Oryzias latipes: one gene and its partners. The protein of the gene in region 3 purifies or fractionates together with the protein of the main gene of each other region. This does not show direct contact. Links are inferred from orthologs where the notes say so. Each region holds a gene or a part of one and is shown on either strand. Other genes may lie near its edges.

Region 1 (4,574 bases), on a different chromosome or scaffold from region 3:
AATGATTAATCTAATAAATATGTAAACAGTCGTGTAAATCACAAATATTGTATCAATCACAAATATAAACTTCTGTGAAACTCTTGAAGTTTGCAGACAACACTACAGTCAAATGCCTTACATGTGCAGTCATGCTCTTATTAGTAATAAAGATGATTCTGATTCTAAAACCTTGACATCAATATTAACACAGAATGTACTAATAATAATTATGATAGAAATTGCAACTCTAATATTAATAACAAGTATAGTCACAATTTTAATAATAGAAATGCTATCCCTTGCAGTATAATAAAGTATTTTAAATCATATTTTTGTTGTGTGAATGTTGACACTAATGTTTAAAACAAATGTATACATTTCTCATTGTTCTCATTATATCAGTGATGACACTAAATATAATACCAAGATAACAACAATTTTCAATTCTTGAAAATATATGGCATGGAAATTTTAACAATGCTATTAATAACAAATATATCATTAATTATATTGCATTAAATTGTCCACACTAAAGTATAAAAAATCATGATTATTTATTAATATCATGATTGAGTAAGTAAGTAAATTTTATTTGCATAGCACCTTTCACAGACAAAGATCACAGGTTAAAATATATATATATATATATATATATATATATATATATATATATACATATAAAAACATAAAAGATAAAAAGCACAAACCACGTAAAACAATCATCTCAAGCCCAATGAAAGCAGTTTCAGTTAAAATGCTTTGCAAAAATAAAAAGTTTTCATGATGATAAATGTAAATTATTTCATAAGGGATAAATTAGAAATCATGATTATTAAAACATAAATTATCGTTTAATATTATGCATTTTTACCAGTAACACATGTGATATTAATCATGAATATTATAATAAAACTCTGCACTAAAAATTAATAACAAAAATTTCATTTTCAAATAAAAACTCATTATTAATCTTATTATTATATTTGACTAATTTTATATTAATAAATGCAAATTTTCTTCATCTCCTATTTTTTCCCTGTGTTATTAATCAAACAAATTTAAATGTATCTCAGTAACATCTCCAAAAGTCTTAATCAGAAAGCTGCATGTTTGTATGAAAGTTGTTGAAATCTGAATGTTTTTTTTTATCTAAAACTCCTGTAATATGTATGCTACCCTGGCATATCTGAAGTTTACTTAGCAAAATTGTGTTTTGTATTAAACTTACTTACGTTTTGTACAATAAAGTTTAAAAAAAAATCTTTACGGAAGTTACGTACTCAGACTCTTTAGTGATTCTCCGTGCGCATGCGCTGTTCGTACTCAGTCAAACAGACATCATGGCGGACGTGTTGGACCTTCATGAGGCGGGAGGAGAAGACTTTCCTATGGATGAGGATGGTGACGGTATTGCGTTGTTTTACACAATTAGAGGCGGACGCACCGCAGTCCTGCCAGCCAAATAATGAAATTCAAATAGCCGCACGTGCGGTCAGAATCACGCTCAGCCCAGACTGCGTGTTTGTTAGCGGGCCGCAGCCGTGTTAGCATCCAGCTAACTCAACGAAAGGCGGTCATTCATCCACTTAGCGAGCCTCTCAGCGGGGGTGCAGCCGTCTGTGTTTGCGAGGGCCGCTTTTAAAATGTTAATTATTTAAACGGACTGTATTTTTCTCTGCACGTTAAAGCTGTTTTGTTTTCTATTAAGCTAGCGCTAGCATCCATGTTAGCCAACGGCTACATGCTGTTAGTGTTGCGCAGATGAGAGAAAAAACGTCGATTTAAAAATTGCACATTGTTCCTAAAAAAACAACCCAAAAACACATATAGTTACTCCATTTGAGAACTTCATAAACTAAACTCTTGTGAATTAAAGGAAACTGAAAACGGCGTCCTTAGGCTTTTATTCGTCTGTTTGCAGAAAGCATCCACAAGTTAAAGGAGAAAGCCAAGAAGAGGAAAGGACGAGGTTTTGGTGCAGGTGAGCTTTCAAAGCATTTTTCCCTTTATTTTTCTTGACTTCTTAGGGTTTGGTTTTGATTCTAAGTTTTTGATTCCAGATGATGGGGCCCGGTCCAGAGCCAAAGAGGACTATGATACTGTGGAACAGGACGGAGATGAGCCTGGGCCTCAGAGATGTAGGTGTTACAAGTGACCTTCATGTTCAGATAGAAGCAAATTAACAAGCTGTAGTCACACTTAGATTGTAAAAAATCTAAGATCTTTGTGTGTATTTTTTTTTATTTTATTTATTTAATTTGATTATAGAATAAATGGTCAATGTTGTGCTTTTCTACCTTTACTAAGCCACTAAGGGCTTGAAAGTCCCAGTCCCATGCACAGTCACAGCCTGTAACCCCCACGAGCGTTGTGGGGTTTAAGTGTCTTGCCCAAAAGACACGTCCACACATGGGCAGGCAAGGCAGGAACTGAACTTTTGATTGAAGGTCTACCTCTGCATCACAGCTGCAGATAACTAATTTAATTTAACCTAAAGTTCATTGTTTAAAAGTTATAAATCAGTTTCACGGCTGCGTTTTAATTTTGACCTATGCAAAAACTAAAAAACTGCTCTGAAACAATGCAGACTTTTACTTTTGAAACTGCGTGAATGCCAGCAGGTCAGGTAAACTCATCTGCTTGTCTTGGTGTGGAGACTGGGGGGTTTGGGTGTCTGATGCCCTGTTCCCTCCCCTCTCTGCAGCTGTAGAAGGCTGGATCCTGTTTGTGACGGGCGTGCACGAGGAGGCCACAGAGGAAGACATCCACGATAAGTTCTCAGAGTTTGGGGAAATCAAGAACCTCCATCTTAATCTGGATCGCAGAACTGGCTATCTGAAGGTGAGTTTAAACCATTTCCTTTTTCTTTGAACACATTTTGTATTTTAAAGACACAACATTTGGATGTCAAATGTTGCTTATGTTCCAATGAACATCTAAGCGGAAGAAGTGAATATTTGATCAACATTAAAAACAAGCATTTAGGCAGTAATTATCAGAGGGAAGGATGGAAGTCATCATATTAATGATGTGGAAGATTTCATTCAGTAGGATTTAATCATATATTTTATAATACTTGTAGAAAAGAAAGTTGGTTGCTAAAATAAGGCTGTTGTGTTCTCAGAACAGTTGCGTGAAGGGGTTAAGAGAGAGCCTGGACTGCCCTTTTGTAGCAGCACTTTAGTTTCTGTGAAGTGAAGCTGATATTTAAGAACAGTCGTATGAAAAACAAACTATTTCGGCTTTATTATTACTGAGGGATTTTCTTTCCGTCTTATTGGTGTTTGGCCGCCACTAAAGGCTAAAATGCTCAGTGTTGAGTCTTTGACTTTTCCACCAAAATAAAAGCTTTGGCATAATTCTGGTCTAACTGCACGACACAAAAATGGATGAGAAAAGCATTTGGGGGGCCGTGAGAAGAAGAGGGTTGACCTTTCTGCAGTTTGTTACTTCACGGTCTGCTCAGTGAAGGAGGAAACCGTCTGACATCTGCACTTTGTGATCAGAACTGTATTATAATAATTGTCAGATTTCAAAGGGTTGTTTTTCAGTTTTAAAACGAGTCTGAGGATACTTAAAGCCTGACTGTCACTGTATTTTCACTCAAAAAAAATATGTTTTTCTCTTTTGGTGCAGTGTTTTTCAACCAGTTTATAACTGGAAAAAAATTCCATTTCACCTAATTGGGCTAAAAAAATGTTTTCCGTTAGCAGGATATCAGTTCTGTGTTCATCCGAACAGACCCGGCTTTTCCACTGGAGTATTTAGAAATGTCTGCTTTGGTTTTATTGGTTTAGTTTAGTTTGTCATTTGCATTGTTTACCTAACATACAGTATAAACAATTAATTAAAAAAATAGGCAGAAGCATATGAAGCTTATTATATGCCTGTCCTTCAATGTCCAAGTTAATCAGTTTAACAAACCAAAAAGTAGGAAACAGTCCTTAATAAATGGAGACAAGTAAACAAAGTCCTTCTACATCTGTGTTTTGTAACCTTTAATATGTTTTAGACTTTTTTTCTTTTAACTGAGAATTACGTCATTTTAATTCATCGCTCAATTCCTTCCATTATTTCACGTCAAGAACTGAAACACATCTTGTCTTGACATTAGATCGAACATTAAACCTGTTCAAAATGAGAAAGACCCCTTAAATTATACTGACCAACTCTTCAATAGTCTGTCTTTTTTGGAACTAAATTACGTTTAACTCTATAAACAATTTCTAATACTTTACTGTAAACAATATCCTTTATTTCTAAACGTTTAGTTAAACTAAATTAGGCCTGCACACTAAATCGCAAATTTGTCGTTAACCCAATATCATTCAGTCATCTTCTATACCCTTTTTTGTCCCTGTCGGGGTCACGGGGCTGCTGGAGCCTATCCCGGCCACTTGTGGGTAAAGGCAGGGGTACACCTGGACAGGCCGCCAGCCTGTTGCACATCACACACCCATTCACACTCACAGCTAGGGACAATTTAAAGTAACCTATTAACCTATGAAACGTGTTTTTGGACGGTGGGTGGAAGCCGGAGTCCCTTGAGAAAATTCACACATGGCACGGGGAAAACATGCAAACTCCACACA
Region 2 (4,630 bases), on a different chromosome or scaffold from region 3:
TGTAGGCACAGCGGGCGCTCAGCTTCCCTTCAGTTTTTGATCTTATCCTAAATTCCTTTGTTTCATGAAAACGGAGGTGAGCTGGTTCACTCATTTGACAAGAAAAACACGAGACACACTAAAAGTATTCAGACACCAACATCACTGAGATTTTTGTGACTTAAGGTTTACAGAGGAACTACAAACTTTAAACATTTACTCTGAGAACGATGCCACAGAATGTGGTGAGACTTCAGCAGTTCACAGCCTCCACAAACAGGTTTTTCAAAGTAAAAGCATCTGAATGGGTGCAAACTCACAGCCAGCAGCTGCCTGACCAACATGTCGGAGGCCTTTTCTGAGATGTTCCCCACAAACACGGTGGTGGTGGGGCCCGCGCCGTCGTCCGCATCCCTGGCCCGCCCCATGCCGTGCTCCTTCTTTGCAGCTATGGGCTTCTGGGTAATGGTGACCGCAGTTGGAACCAGAACCTGCGACAGCAATGCAAGGTTTAGAGACGAACGCATCAACTGTGGATGCCATAAAGACGGCGGTGACGGCGGGTCACACGGAGGAGCTGCGGGTTAATGTGGTAAAAACTCTGGTTTCAGACTCACTGTGGGCGCGGGGGCCACTACGCCCATGTGAACTGGGATCATGGGAGTACCTGGAAACAGCAGAGGGAAAAGGTTGGTGTAGATTTTGCTTTCATCCACACTGAATCCTAACTTCTAGGACTGTTTCACCCAGAAAGTTCCCTCAGTTCCAAGCTGTGAGTGTAAAGCCAACAGGGTGGAGCGGACGCTCACACATCTAAGACAAAGAGGCCCTTCAGAGGAGACAGAGGCAGACAGAAACCTGTTTCCCCTCAAACTATGGGAATCCAGTCCTCATGAAGACAGTGATCCACGGTGAGCCTCAAACACAACTGGACTTTAACGATGAATCCGTGAATTGATTTATGATTCCAACCAGACAGAGTTAATGGAATTGGCCCACACTGTTATAAAATGGTTTCAAAATGAGATCAAATACTATTTGGATTGAGGTACAGCCGGTTTATTTTACTAGAAGGTTTAATCGACCAATCACAGCGGACAACACATTTGTGATGTCATTAACACGGAATGTTAATGACATGTTGTCATTAACAACATGTCTAATGTGCTAGAATGTTCTAAGAATGTTCCCTTTGGATTCTTTGGATGTGGAAAAACAACAGTGGTGAAATTTAGGAAACTAACATGTGAATGGATTTGACATTCATTCTAGTTTACTTGTTTGTTTGGACACAGATTTCATTTCCACTTGATGATCTGGAAGAAATCCAAGAATCTGGAAAACTGTTCAGTAGCAGGAATTTCTGTCTGGAAGTTTGGATGAAGAGGATCTGGATCTACTTTAGCTCAGTGAACCGGAGCGTTCAGAATGAACAAATATTGAATATAAACATATCGTCAGCCACAAATTGTGATATGAAATGCAGCATTAAAATGAATGATTACACTTCTACTGGTTCAGAAAATACAAATAAAAATGGAAAGAATTTAAAAAACCCAGCAGCTTCTAAACCTGTGGGTCACTTGGTACGGGACAACAGACACAGAAAACAAAACCAAAAAACTTACAGAAAGTTATTACAGTTATTACTATTAATTTATTTCTGTTTGGAGGATTTATTCATTCTGAAGGAAGTTTTATTTTGGAAAACTATAGGATTCTGTGCACCACATCCCTTTATGCTTTACTGCATATCAAGACGTTCTCCTCGGTCACGTGTCAAATACATTTGGTACTTTCTTAAAGCCTCCAATCCTAAATTTAATGCCCGAAGACAGCAAAGTTAATAAAAAACAAACGGAGGAAAAGATCCAGAGAGGAAACCGAAGAAGAGTCTTCAACTTCAAAATAAAAGAAATCTTTTAGTTGTGTCATTGCTAGGACATAGTTTCTGCAGAGCGACAGGAGTTCAATAGAAATTCACCCCCCACACACTTCCCGCCACCCATCTGTTTACAAGCTCTCCTGCTAGCTTACAGCGCCTCACAACCCCATGCTAACACGGGCGGTGCAACAAAAATGGCGAGCAATATCAACCTACACCTGTAAATATGGAGCTTGTGGCTCCGCCCAGCGTATTTTCTACATCACCTTTGCAAAGAGCATTTTTTAATCTGTTCCTAATTCACAATAATTTGAATAGAGAAATACTCAGAAATGCAATCATGAGTTTAAGTTTCTTTAAATATGTCAGAAAAATGCTACAACATGTTAAAAACACCAGTTTGATGGGAGGGGGTCTCTAAAGGTTAACGGTGAGCTTCTACTTCAATGTTTAGTAGTTTAGCCTCCCGTGAGGAATTTCAACATCAATGGATTTGAATGGATTTCCTTTTTCCCAAATTAGCCTCCATTCTTACCTGATTTTTTCACCTGGAATCAGGTGAACAACATTGCTTATAATATGGATGCCTACAGGCAGGGGGGCAAATGCGCATGTCTACAGATCTGAGGCTCCTGTCAAAACTGAAATCCCAGCATGAATAAAGCATTTATGACGGCTACCACCACAAAAAACGGTGTGGATTTTTATTCAAGTTCATCTAAATCTACCAATTATCGAATTTCATTCATCTCCCCGTCAAATCACGTGGTGAACTGCAGTGCTTCCCAACGCGATGCTTGACTCCAGATCCAACACAAGCTGGGGGGGGGGGGGGGGTCACAGGTGTGCGGCGGTTCTCGGTACCTGGTGGAACTGGAGGGGCGAAGCCTCCGTACTGCGGCGGGGGGATCCCTGGGGGAAGCTGGGGGAGGCCGACCTGCGGCCGGTTCATCGGAGGCGGGTAAGACATTCCTGGAGGAGACCGCCTGCAAGACCGAGACAAGAGGAGGTTAGCGGGAAGGAGTGGAGCTTCTTCCACTGGTCACCGTCACAGCGACCAGCTCAAACTGACAGAATAAACTGACAAATCGATGAGATTAAAAGACTAGCTAGCTTGTAAACTGCTAGCCTCAGACGGCTAAGTCCGGCCTTGCTGCTAGACGTTAGCATCGGCGGTCATGAAGAACGCGCTCACCCACCTTCAGTCAAGTATTCCGTTAAAAAGAGGACACGGCTAACACGGCTGATTATCCTCGTAAAAAACCCATTAAATGCAGCAAAAGGACCGATTCCGGGAGAATTAGCAGGCTAAATTAGACACCGGTTCACTGCGGGAGCTCCCGTGGTTCGAGGCTAACGGAGCTATTCTTTCCGAAAAGGATTATGGGACATCTGGGTTCAGCTCGGGTTGTTTTTTTCTTAATACCCTGAGTGAGGTCTTACAGGCAGCAGCTCCTGCATCAAACACTTTAAAATCGTCAAATTTGCCTTAATTCTGTTGGATTTGTTTTATTTAATTTTTCATTTAACAAAAAATACAAACATAGTTATGTCAATGTCCTTTAATAGAGACTTCATTCTAATTCAAACTGAGAGTATGTGAAATAAAAGGATAATTCATGTAGAAATAAAAGATTTTCCAAAATTATAACTGAAAAAGCAATTTAGGATCTTTAAATACTAGAAATACTAGAAAAAAGCTCCGTAATTAAATTAGCCATTTTTTTTAAATAAATGTCTGGATAGAATGATAACTCAAGCTGGCTCACTGGGGGAGCATACAGGAGAAATTGAAAAAAAAATGGCTTAGTTTGGAGTTCCACAAGGTAGCTACTCTGGTCCGCCTTTATTGTCATTGACAAATTTGTCGGTCAGATGGATAACAAAAAGCTGGACCTTGGCAAATGCTGCAGTACTAAACCAACAACAACAAAAACTCTGACCATGTTTTTTGGACTAAAAAGGTCGGAAAAAACCCTCAAGTACAGGAAACTACACAGAAAAAAAATCCAGCTGGGATTTGAACCTTTCATTGTAGTGATTGTGCTGCCCACTACACACCACCAAGACGTTAGAAATGAGAGCGAACTCTGGTTTGCCTTACAGAAGAGATCCAGGGAAAAATACGATGGTGCAGATAAGAAAAAAAATCTCAGCAGTTCATATTTTCCGCCGCTCGGTGGCGCCAAAATCCACACTTTGGCCTTTGGAAATTGATTTCGAACCTGTGTCCTGGAGCAAGATGTGAACGTCCATCGCCGTTACTGTTTGCAGCTGCGTCAGTCTAACATGAGCTCAGCAGCGAAACAGTTGTTGCTCAAATCCACTTTCTTCTGTATTCTAGAAATGTCATTTTATTGACATTCTACGGTTTTCAGCAGCTAGAATTATGAGGAATAATTCAACACAAACACTAAAACCTATTTTTAAAGTAATTTATTTTGTATTTTTGTCTTTGATGAGTGTTACACAATCAGTGCTTTAATATGTTTTCAGACTCTGTTCTGCCAGCAGCTACAGGAATGACACAAATACAGTAAACTAAGTTTGTGATTCAACCCCATGTGTGTGTTTGTGTCTTTGTGTGTGAGTGTAGTGTGTGAGTATTTGAGCGCATGCGTTTGTTTTTTTGTGCGAGGTTATGCAAGTTTGTTGATAGGTTTGACTGTATCCCTGAGTGTGCGTGAGTTTGTGTGTTTCTGTGCGTGAACTTGAGTGTGTATTTGCTTCTGTGTGTGTGTTTGAGGTTTCGTGAGTGTGTTCAAG
Region 3 (4,807 bases):
GAATCTTTCTCTCTCTGCCACTCTCTCTCTCTCTTTCTCACTGGTCACACACACACACACACACCCACACACACACACACACAGCAGGCCCAGACAGGTGGAGGACAGAGTGTAGGTACATAAAAACATCAATTTCCACACTTCTATTAGCCCTGGGTCCAGTGGACCCGAACATCTTATATGTAATAGAAATGTGTTGGGGGGGGTATACGGTGTGTGGTCATTAAAAATGTATTCTGATATCTGTTCTTCACAGAAAATGAGCCAAGGCCAGTGAGTCTGAGTTTGAAAAATTAATTAATTGTATCATTTTTCTTTTGATAAAAAATGAAAACGGGTCCCACAGACCCGAACACCACATAAGGGTTAAAAGTATTTTTGTGACTAGAAATCAGAATAATAGTTGAGCCGGATCACAAGATGACAGAAATCAGAATCAAGATGTTTCATAGGTTTTATTCTCAAAATTCTTCAAAAAAAAAAATCAACTCGAATGAAGGAATCACAAAATCTTGTTAGATGTCATCAGACATAACATAAAAACTACAGTCAATTTTCAGCACAAAATTTAAAAAAAAAGAAAGAATTTTTCTCGTCTCCTTGTCACTACGAACTCAGCTAAATTTACTGCAATTTATATAGATCCTTTGTGTCCGAGGAGCCAGGAAATGCGAAAACTGCAGCTGATCTGCGGCGAGTATTTAGAGTAAAGACAACTTTCTATCTGGAGGAATTTGAGCTTGAACGAGAGCGATGGCGCCTGCGGCCAGGAGACCTAGAGCGAGAGCGGCGACGTGGTGGCGAGCGCCTCCTTGGGGAGCGTGATCTAAACAGGCACAAAAAAAGGACGAGCATCAGTAGGTGGGAGAAGATTCCGTTTCAATGGACCGCATAATAAAACGTTAAAAATATTAAAAAGGTACAAGTGAAAGCTTTTAAATAACCTTCTTCTCATGCGTGGTGGGCTGCGGCGCCACATCGGTGGAGGTGGCGGCATTCTTCGAGGAGGAGACAGTCTACGTGGAGGACCACGGATCAGCTGAGTCAGCACAGCAGCTGCAGTGATTTCCTGCCCGTCAATCTGACCTAAAAAAGTCATCAGGAAGGTTTGTTTTTACCTGACCAAGTTTATGTTCGTCAATATGATTTCTCCAGCCCCTTAAATGATTCTTTCCTACCTCCATCCATGTGTTTAAGAGCTTTCTGGGCTTCTTCAGGGGTCTCAAACTCCACGTAAGCAAAGCCTTTGGTCAGGTTTGGGAAGAGCCTTTCCACCGGCATGTCAACCGCTTTAATTTTTCCATATGTAGAGAAAATCTCCTGGATGTGTTCCTAGTAAATTGAAACATACATTTAGTTTTTAACCATTATTTTGTGAAGGATTGTTCCATTAAAAAAAACTAAAAACAAAATATTTAGCTTTTTATTTAATTCTTGCAGTTTTAGGCGCACATCTTGACAGACAATAAACATAAAGAATATTTCATTCTAACTAGTTATCATGAAAAATAAGATCTGCTTTTATTGAATTAGAATTTTTTTTTTAAAAATCAAAGATTTAGCTTTTGTTTGTTTTTTTAGCTTGCCTTGGTTACATTCCTGGTCAGCCTTCCCAAGTGAACCTTTGTGGGTTTAGGGGTGGGACTTCTTTTTCTTCGTTCTCTTTCTTCTCCTCTCTTCTGTGTTTTAGAACTGCAGGATAAAAAATTACAGAATAAATATTGTCAATATTTTTGAGATACAATATAAATATTTGTCTCATGTCTGAGAAAATGGACTGACGGAGATCGTGAACGGCGTCGGTTGTCATGGCGTCTGCGGCTGGGACTTGGAGAGGCCGAAGAGCTGGAGGAGGAGGAAGACCGAGAGCTAGAGGATCCGGAGCGACTGGAAGAGGAGCTGGAACCACTTGAAGAACCAGAGCTAGAACCAGAGCTGCTGCTGGAGGATGAGCTAGATCTAGATGTGGAAGGTCAAAAACAAACAATGATTTAGTTGGGAATGAACATCCAGGACAGGATGCTATATTATATTTTTAAATATAAGAAAGAAAAAATAGCTCACCTGCTGCTGCTGCCTGATGAAGCACTGCGGCGTTTCTTTGCTTTGTCGCGACCCCTTTCCTTGTCTCCTTCCTTTATTTTTTCTTTTTCCCTGTTTTTCTTTTCATCTTCCTTTCGCTTTATCGGTAATGGTGCCCTGATGTGGCGAGAAAGCACATAAATTAGAGACCTAGAAACCTAAAAAAGTGATTATGTCTAGGTTTATGTAAAGGATTGTGATTTATGTTTTTATTGGATAGAGAGAAACAGCCTTAAAATGTGCTAGATACAAATTTTTTGCACCAAAAAGGTCATTAATTAAATTTAACTCGTTAATTACTTGAATATATATAACTTTTTCATTTCATTTTTATCTAATTAATTCAAAATTGTTTCGGTGTTTTTTTTTTTTTTACCGACATTTAACATGTGCACAATAAATTGTAATTATTTTAAGCTTAATTCCAAATGTTTAGGACCGTAAATTACATAATATTTTCCCTTACACTAATATTTTCATTCAGAAAAAAAAAAACCTTCTATTTGGACTCGTTCCCTCGTTGTTTTTTTTGAGCACAACAAGGGACTAAACTACACCCGCGTCGCGGTTAAACGACTTCTTCCTTTATAAGGAACTTTCGCGCAAAATAAAAAAGCCTCCGAACTTACATGTTTAAATCAACAAGTTCCGCTATTAAAGCTATTTAGATCGAAAATACGTAAAAAGGTTAATCTTACATTCCAACGGCCAAAAATGGCTTCACTTGCGGTCTGGTGTGAGGTCGCGAAGTGATGATGAAAGCGGATGTTACGTAATTTTTTATTTTAACTTTAAACAAACGCACACACAAAAGCTACAACAGAAAAAAAGAAAAAAGAAGAAAATAGAAATAAATAAATAAATAAAAATAATATAATTGTAGTTTACAATACAAGGGATTTTCATACAACGCGTGATCTTCAATGAAAATAGACATTTTATTGCATTTTTGCTTTTTATTAATATCAGAGATTTTTAATATAAACTGATCTCAATATGAAATGTATTGAATAATGGTTTTGTTTTTGAAAATCTGCTCTCATCAATGAAAAATTTCCCAGATATTAATAAAGTATTGAATGTCAAATCAAATATATTATCAACAGAAACTACTCCAAATAATATGATCTGCTTTTGTAATTGAATATAAATAGGAAAGGGAAACTTTGAGGAGCAACAAGAAAAGAAATTCTCCCAAAAACTGTTAACATATATACATTCAAAAAAACAGATGATCAAGTGTTTCTATATTTATGTCACAGAAAGAACAGTTATTTTCTGGAAAACCAAAACGTATATGTATAGTAGTTCCTTGTATGGATAGACTGCATACATTATTTTAAAATGGATTTCTTTGTATTTTGGAAAAATTTAATATTTAGTAAATTCAGATCTTAAAACGATATATATATATATATATATATATATATATATATATATATCGTTGTTGTTTTTTTTTTCTTGCCAACTTTTTTTGTAAACATACACGACACAAGTGTGGATGAATGAAAAAGTTATAATACAAATCCATGCAGACCTTACATATAGTCACAGCACTGGAGCATCGCATTTTGAGTTATTGTTGCAATTTTTTAAATATGTACAGTCTAATCAAAAGATTTTTAATAAATATTACAATTCCAAAGTAGGTGACTGAGTTTTTGGGTTTTCTTTCACAGAATGTTAACAAACTTTAATATATTTTACAATGTTAAATATCTTGACTAGTATTATTCTGTGCAGAAATTGAGAGGAGATATCGCTCATCTTGTCATTAATCAACTATTTCTGATGCAATGAAAGTTCTTTCCATAGCAAGTCAGAGACAAAAGTATTTCACTAAAAGACAACAAAATGTTCTGAAATAACATCTCGTTGAAACAAGGCACATATGACTTTGTTATTCTCCTGAGTAAATTTGAAACAAGATTTTCCAACAGGGGTGTAACTGATTTTCTCTTTTCATCTTCTTTATTTTATGGTGTTGACATTTAGACTTCGAGTCCATAAAAATATGTATTACTATATGTTAGATTAAACTCCTCAGTTCTAAACAAATGTCCTTTTCTGTCAAGGAACTGACCCATATTATTGTTGAAATTATTATGACAAAAAATATATATTTGTTTTAGTAAATGATGTATTTCTTAGTCCAAATAAATAAATTATAAGTGAGGGGTGTTTATAAACAAGTGCCCAGGAAAGAAGTGTCTGTCAAAAGCAGAATTTTATAGTCATTTTGACAATGTTTTCTTTGTCACAGACAACTTGTTTGTTTGTTTGTTTGTTTGTTTGTTTGTTTGTTTGTTTGTTGACACCACAGTTACAGAATATAAAGCCACTCAAAATCCCCTTTGCAAAGGTTTGAACTTTCATGCAGACTCTTGTGTGATGTATTTCTTTTCCCCCCTGCACATTCAATTTGTTGGTGTCCTTAACCATCCAAACCTGCAACATCAGCTTAATTATATTTGTTGAAGTAAAACTGAACCATAATTATAAGTTAATTCTCATTTCTTACCAGTGTGATTCAGTTCGTCGCTAGATTATGACGAAAGCGGAAGTTACGTTTGTAAACGGGTGCCACTCACAACTTCATTTGTTTTTTTAAGGTGTTATGGACGTTAGCAGCTTGCGTATTCGGCTGCTGCATAGCTATGCAAAGGGGACCTAGTTACTGTGGTGCGTGAATTACGCTGCTCGAATTCGAAGCACGGACATTGCT
Region 4 (4,877 bases), on a different chromosome or scaffold from region 3:
TTACAGCATGAAAGCAGCACAAACTTTACTCAGTGCATCCGAGTTTTATCATAGGCGATCAGTGAATCACCTTATTTTCTATGTTGAATCCACAAAAAACTCAGATTATTGACTCACCTTTTAATAAAAAAAAGGTCCAGTTCATACTCTCTGTAGAGGAGAGAATTAACAAAGCAGCAGAGCTTTTTTTTATATATATATGGTGAATTGAGACATTCTTTTACCAAAAAATCTCTGCCATTTACTTCAATCCTATACTATAGGGCCTATTGTCTAAACACCCAGAAGTGCGCTGTTAACTCTTGGTTGTCACCAGAGGTGTGCCAGGTGTGTCAGTCACTCCCAATCAACAGGGATTCATTGTTTCCTGTTCTTGACTGCATTTAAAGGGCTTATACCATGAAAATCAATTTTTTGAGGTTTTAAGTGTATTATAATGTCCATTCCTTACAAAAAGAAACCCCAAAGTGACATTTGATCAGTTCAGGCATTTCTGTATGGAAGCATATCTGTCTCATAATTCAAAATTAAAAGTCAAGTTCAGCAGATTGATTTTTCATTTTATTTTTGATTCAACGAACACAGCTCTATTGTGAAAATGAAAAAGCATTTTGGGTATTGACTTTCATTTTGAATTATGAGACAGATAGGCTTCCATATTTTTTATCATGTTTACTCCTGCTAGCAGACACATCGCAGCTCGCCAACATCACCAACTTGAAGTCATTTCCTCAACTTGAGCTGCCAATTAAAATCCTCATATTTTCAGGTTTGTCACAATCCAAATGGTCTCGGTCAAATGGTAACGTTTCAGAGTTTATTCCTGTCCAGTTGTGACACTTCGTCACCTTTTGCACTCACGGCACAACCCTCATGTTCCGGAGACCGGGCATCGGTGAGAGTGCTGTAGGTCAGCTCTGCAAACAGACTGAGGTTCTCTGGCATGGAATAAAGGCCCTACAAGTATCTGTTTGTAACCATCAAAACCCCATCAAATCTATTCTATGCAAGCGGAACAGAAGCATTGAAAAAGATGTACAGAGAGAGAATAAAACTAAAACAGTGATAAACAGTAAATTCCTCTTTGTTTTCATCTGTTTATGCTGGCTAGCAGGGTTCTTTTTCAAAATCACATCTCCACCATTATTAAATGGACGTCTGAATCAAGCAACATGTAATTTTAGTTGAAAAACTTTTTTTTTAAATCGAATTCTGTCGCTCACATTAATATTTTGTTGTTGTCAGATATTTTTTATAATGACTCACTTTACATTTGGTTATTTAGTTGAAATTTGTATTCAGGGCAACTAACAGGTTTTTACATTAGGTTAGTTGTTGTGTATCTAACTTCATGTAAAGCACTTTGAAATGCTACTGTACGCAAAAGATGTTCTACACAGACTGGACATGTTTAACCTGTACAAAATAAAAGCATAATATATAAAATGTATGAATACACTTGACAAAGGTTTCTTGTTTTTGTCATCTGATTACTTAATCCAGATTACATTTAATCTGTGCTGCCCTGCTCTGTTGAACGTGCCACTCTGTGAAAAATCCATGCAGTTCTCACAACAACCCGTAGGGGGCGCTGTTTACCGTGAAATGCGGTGCAGGCGCCATCTTGAGGGAGACCCGATCGCAGCGTTCGGCTGGCGGCGGCGCCCGACGGCAGTCTCCGGGCACACCATGAGGGGATTACTCGCCTGCGTTTAAAACGGAACAGTTACGTTTTTCCTTTTAGTTTTTCTTTTCTTTTTTTAAAAAAATTCTCTGTCCAGAGGAAGCGAGGCACCGCACGGTGGCAGCTCTGCGCCACACACAGGCCGCGATTTCATCAGAAAGTCGCGCGGCTGCGCTGTAGCCCGATGGCCGGTTAGCCGCTCTCTGGACTCCACCGCGGCCTGCTCGGGCGGAGGAAGGGTGGTGACGGAGCAAAATGCTCCACCGTTGACTCCCATCAACGCAGCCAGCCCACAGACGCACCGAGAGTCGGTCCACGATGCACTTAGCGAGCTTTCCACGCTCGTAACGTCTCCGTTTTACACATTTAGATAGTTTTTTCCTTGTTTCCGTTGTTTTTATTTTTTATTTTGAAATTGTTTTTGAGAGCGCCGTCTGAACGCAGACATGTCAGCCAACTGCACCAGCGCAGCGGCCGCCAGCGCCAGCAAAACCAAGACGAAAAAGAAGCATTTTATAGGGCAGAAAGTGAAGTTATTCCGCGCGAGCGAGCCCATCCTCAGCGTTTTGATGTGGGGAGTCAACCACACGGTGAGTCGGAGCATCCTCCCGTTGTTTTGATTTTCTAGCTTTCTTGCTAACCTGTTAGCCAGCTGCCCTCATCTGTCAAAGCGGCTTTTCTGTCATCAATTGATCCTTGCGGGTCGTGATTGCTTCTGTTTGTCGTGGTTAGCTAGCAGCTGTTATGTGAAGCTGCTGTTATCTTATTTATTTATTTATTATTTGGGGGACAGATTCATGTTGGGATCTATAGATCCTCTCCGTAAATCAGATCAACTTCTATAACTGACTTTAATCGTTGGCAATTTAGGCTCGTGGCTGTGGTGGTGGAGGGGATTATCTGCTGTCATAGATTATGGATTGAGAGGTGTTTCGGTTGCCAAGCTGCCGTGATCTGCTGCTGCAGGCGTGAGGAGGGGCGTGTCAGGCAGCAGCAGCAGCTTTCCCCGGATTGTGACCGGGGGGGAGGCGGCGATCTCCAGCCGTTTGTCGCAGCCTTTCTTTATAAATAGAGCTGAAAATGTATCGCGTCTGGCCGAAGCTTCGTGCGGCTATGAAAAGGTTTCGGGTTGGGTGATGGAGTCTGCCGAACCTGCACGAGTCTGATTGATGCGCGGAAAGCTGGCGGCGAGCTGCGCGCGCGCGCCCGGATTACCAAGCCGACCTATTTGGCCAGAGCCCAGGAGCTCATGTTCAAGCGACCCCAGAGGTGAAATATGTTTCAATCTGAGACGCGGAATGATGGAAATGACCGCAGAGATGTTGAACGAAGACCTGGAGAAGCAGAATGACCAGATATGAAACCAAACTGTGACACAGATTCACACAACTGCTGCTTAAAACACGGATTTACAGCCAAACCCAACATTAAAACACTAAATCCCTGTGAATTACAGACAAATACGTTTAATAAAAAGAAAAAAACCGTTGGCAATCAATGCAACCACTGAAATGTCTTTACAATTTCTGGTAGAATCACTGGTAGACGACTAGATCCATGCACGCCTGTGTTTTCCTCGTCTGGCTCAAAAATGTACGGCTGGATAGCTCCAAGATAGCTCGCCTTTGCTGTTACACTGGTAATGTTATGTAGGGGGGACTGTAAGCTAGCAGGAGAGAGTGTAAACGGAGAGCTCTCAGTTAAATTTGATGGGAAGGGCGGCTGGGGTTGCTCCACACCACACAACGGTTCCACCCACAACTCAGAGGTGAATTTCTGATGAACTCCTGTCATTCTGCAGAAACTAATTTAATTTAAACACCATAATCCTAATTAAAAGACAACACTTTTACAAAAGATGATCGGAGTGAGACTTTTATTGATTGGTTTGACAGATTCAAGCAAGTTCTTCATAATACTTAAATTAGAAACAACAGTTTGATGCATTTTAATAGATTACAATAAATGAAACTAGACTAACATGCAGCTGTTTAGCAGTGCGTGATTCTTCAGGAGTTGCATCAGAACACAGATGGACTTGAGATGGAAGTACAGTAATTGTATGATTAGCTTCTGAAAAGACAATGCTCCAGTATGTGGAATAACGTTCAATAGAGATGCCACAATTCCCGGTTTCCCACCAAATTGTATGTCACACCACTAAACCGAATCACGAGGGGAGCTATGGTTCCATCCCTACTGCATAGCAGTATGTAGAAAGTGACAAACACGTGTGTAAGAAGGGTTTATTATTTATTGTTTTAATACATTACACCAGGCTTAGTAAAAGACAACTCAAAGGTTCTTATTCATTGTTAGTGTCTTATTAGCAAATTCTAAAGATTTATCCAACTTTTTAGTTGTTATGTAAAAGACAAAACTGCCGCCCAAAAATCGGGGATTGAAGCGCATGAAGCGCATTTTGGGGAAAGGGAACCGTTCAAGCAGACAGACAAAGTTATTAAATCAGATTTTCTGAAATTGAACACTTTAGCACAGCATGCCCTTGTGTTGAACTTGTGTCACTCCAATTGTCCCGATCAGACAGCGTTGTATGAGTTCCAACTGTGTAATCATCAAACCGGATCAGTTGGTCAGGATCCCTGTGATCCCATTGGATCAGTTAGTTTGAGAGCAAAGGCGTCTGCCAAAGTTGGTCTCGAGTCCTCCACTAAGGTCGGAGTTCAGGGCTTTTTTGTGTCCTGGTGTTCTCAACGTGGGTTCAGGTTTTCATGGATGTTTGTGGTTTGATCCGTCTTTGCTGTTGGGGAGCAGAGAAGAAGAGCATTTTGGTCGATGAAGCAGCTCCTCTTTGACCAGCTCTGTGGTGGAACCGGTCAGGGTCTGGCCGGATCCGTTCAGATGAATCCGGGGGAGCAGCTAACTGCAGATGTGTTTCTGGCTGCGGCCTCTCCAGGGTTGAGCGGTGAACTCTGGCAGTGGGCGTGTGCGTGCAGCTCCGGCCCGATGAGCTGATTCTGTGGGTGTGAGGCGGATTCGGCACATCAAACGGCCCTCGCATCGAAGCCCGCCTCTCACAGTCAGAAGTCGTGTGGGTATTAGATGGAGCTGGATGCTGGAGAATTTCCAGCAGGACGTCTGCTGGCGTTTAGGTGATGTGGACGCCGCCAATCCCTCAGATTTTCTATATTTGAAACGGAGTGACACTCAGCAGATCTCGCGTTTGTGGTGT

What was found. Proteins that work in one complex are often made in the same cells at the same time.
Region 1: the proteins of rnps1 (region 3) and rbm8a purify together in Homo sapiens (co-immunoprecipitation; 4 studies listed by BioGRID and IntAct, with this or other methods). This does not show direct contact. The link is inferred for Oryzias latipes from reciprocal best matches to the Homo sapiens genes RNPS1 and RBM8A.
Region 2: the proteins of rnps1 (region 3) and RNA-binding protein 25 purify together in Homo sapiens (affinity purification with mass spectrometry; 3 studies listed by BioGRID and IntAct, with this or other methods). This does not show direct contact. The link is inferred for Oryzias latipes from reciprocal best matches to the Homo sapiens genes RNPS1 and RBM25.
Region 4: the proteins of rnps1 (region 3) and pip4k2b purify together in Homo sapiens (co-immunoprecipitation; 3 studies listed by BioGRID and IntAct, with this or other methods). This does not show direct contact. The link is inferred for Oryzias latipes from reciprocal best matches to the Homo sapiens genes RNPS1 and PIP4K2B.

Annotation. Positions count from the first base shown.
Region 1 is NC_019874.2:29,126,736-29,131,309, forward strand, and holds the start of rbm8a (RNA-binding protein 8A), read left to right. Parts: upstream 1-1,314; 5' UTR 1,315-1,322; coding exon 1,323-1,383; coding exon of another isoform or gene 1,384-1,389; intron 1,390-1,903; coding exon 1,904-1,963; intron 1,964-2,042; coding exon 2,043-2,120; intron 2,121-2,686; coding exon 2,687-2,823; intron 2,824-4,574.
Region 2 is NC_019880.2:1,888,648-1,893,277, reverse strand, and holds the start of RNA-binding protein 25, read right to left. Parts: upstream 3,261-4,630; 5' UTR 3,064-3,260; intron 2,851-3,063; 5' UTR 2,835-2,850; coding exon 2,729-2,834; intron 647-2,728; coding exon 597-646; intron 471-596; coding exon 300-470; intron 1-299. UniProt on the Homo sapiens protein: RNA-binding protein that acts as a regulator of alternative pre-mRNA splicing. Involved in apoptotic cell death through the regulation of the apoptotic factor BCL2L1 isoform expression.
Region 3 is NC_019866.2:11,024,435-11,029,241, forward strand, and holds rnps1 (RNA-binding protein with serine-rich domain 1), read right to left. Parts: upstream 2,875-4,807; 5' UTR 2,783-2,874; coding exon 2,781-2,782; exon of another isoform or gene 2,714-2,780; coding exon of another isoform or gene 2,712-2,713; intron 2,200-2,711; coding exon 2,065-2,199; intron 1,960-2,064; coding exon 1,783-1,959; intron 1,693-1,782; coding exon 1,587-1,692; intron 1,333-1,586; coding exon 1,179-1,332; intron 1,087-1,178; coding exon 945-1,086; intron 827-944; coding exon 721-826; 3' UTR 437-720; downstream 1-436. UniProt on the Homo sapiens protein: Part of pre- and post-splicing multiprotein mRNP complexes. Auxiliary component of the splicing-dependent multiprotein exon junction complex (EJC) deposited at splice junction on mRNAs.
Region 4 is NC_019859.2:8,441,876-8,446,752, forward strand, and holds the start of pip4k2b (phosphatidylinositol 5-phosphate 4-kinase type-2 beta), read left to right. Parts: upstream 1-1,617; 5' UTR 1,618-2,130; coding exon 2,131-2,274; intron 2,275-4,877. UniProt on the Homo sapiens protein: Participates in the biosynthesis of phosphatidylinositol 4,5-bisphosphate. Preferentially utilizes GTP, rather than ATP, for PI(5)P phosphorylation and its activity reflects changes in direct proportion to the physiological GTP concentration.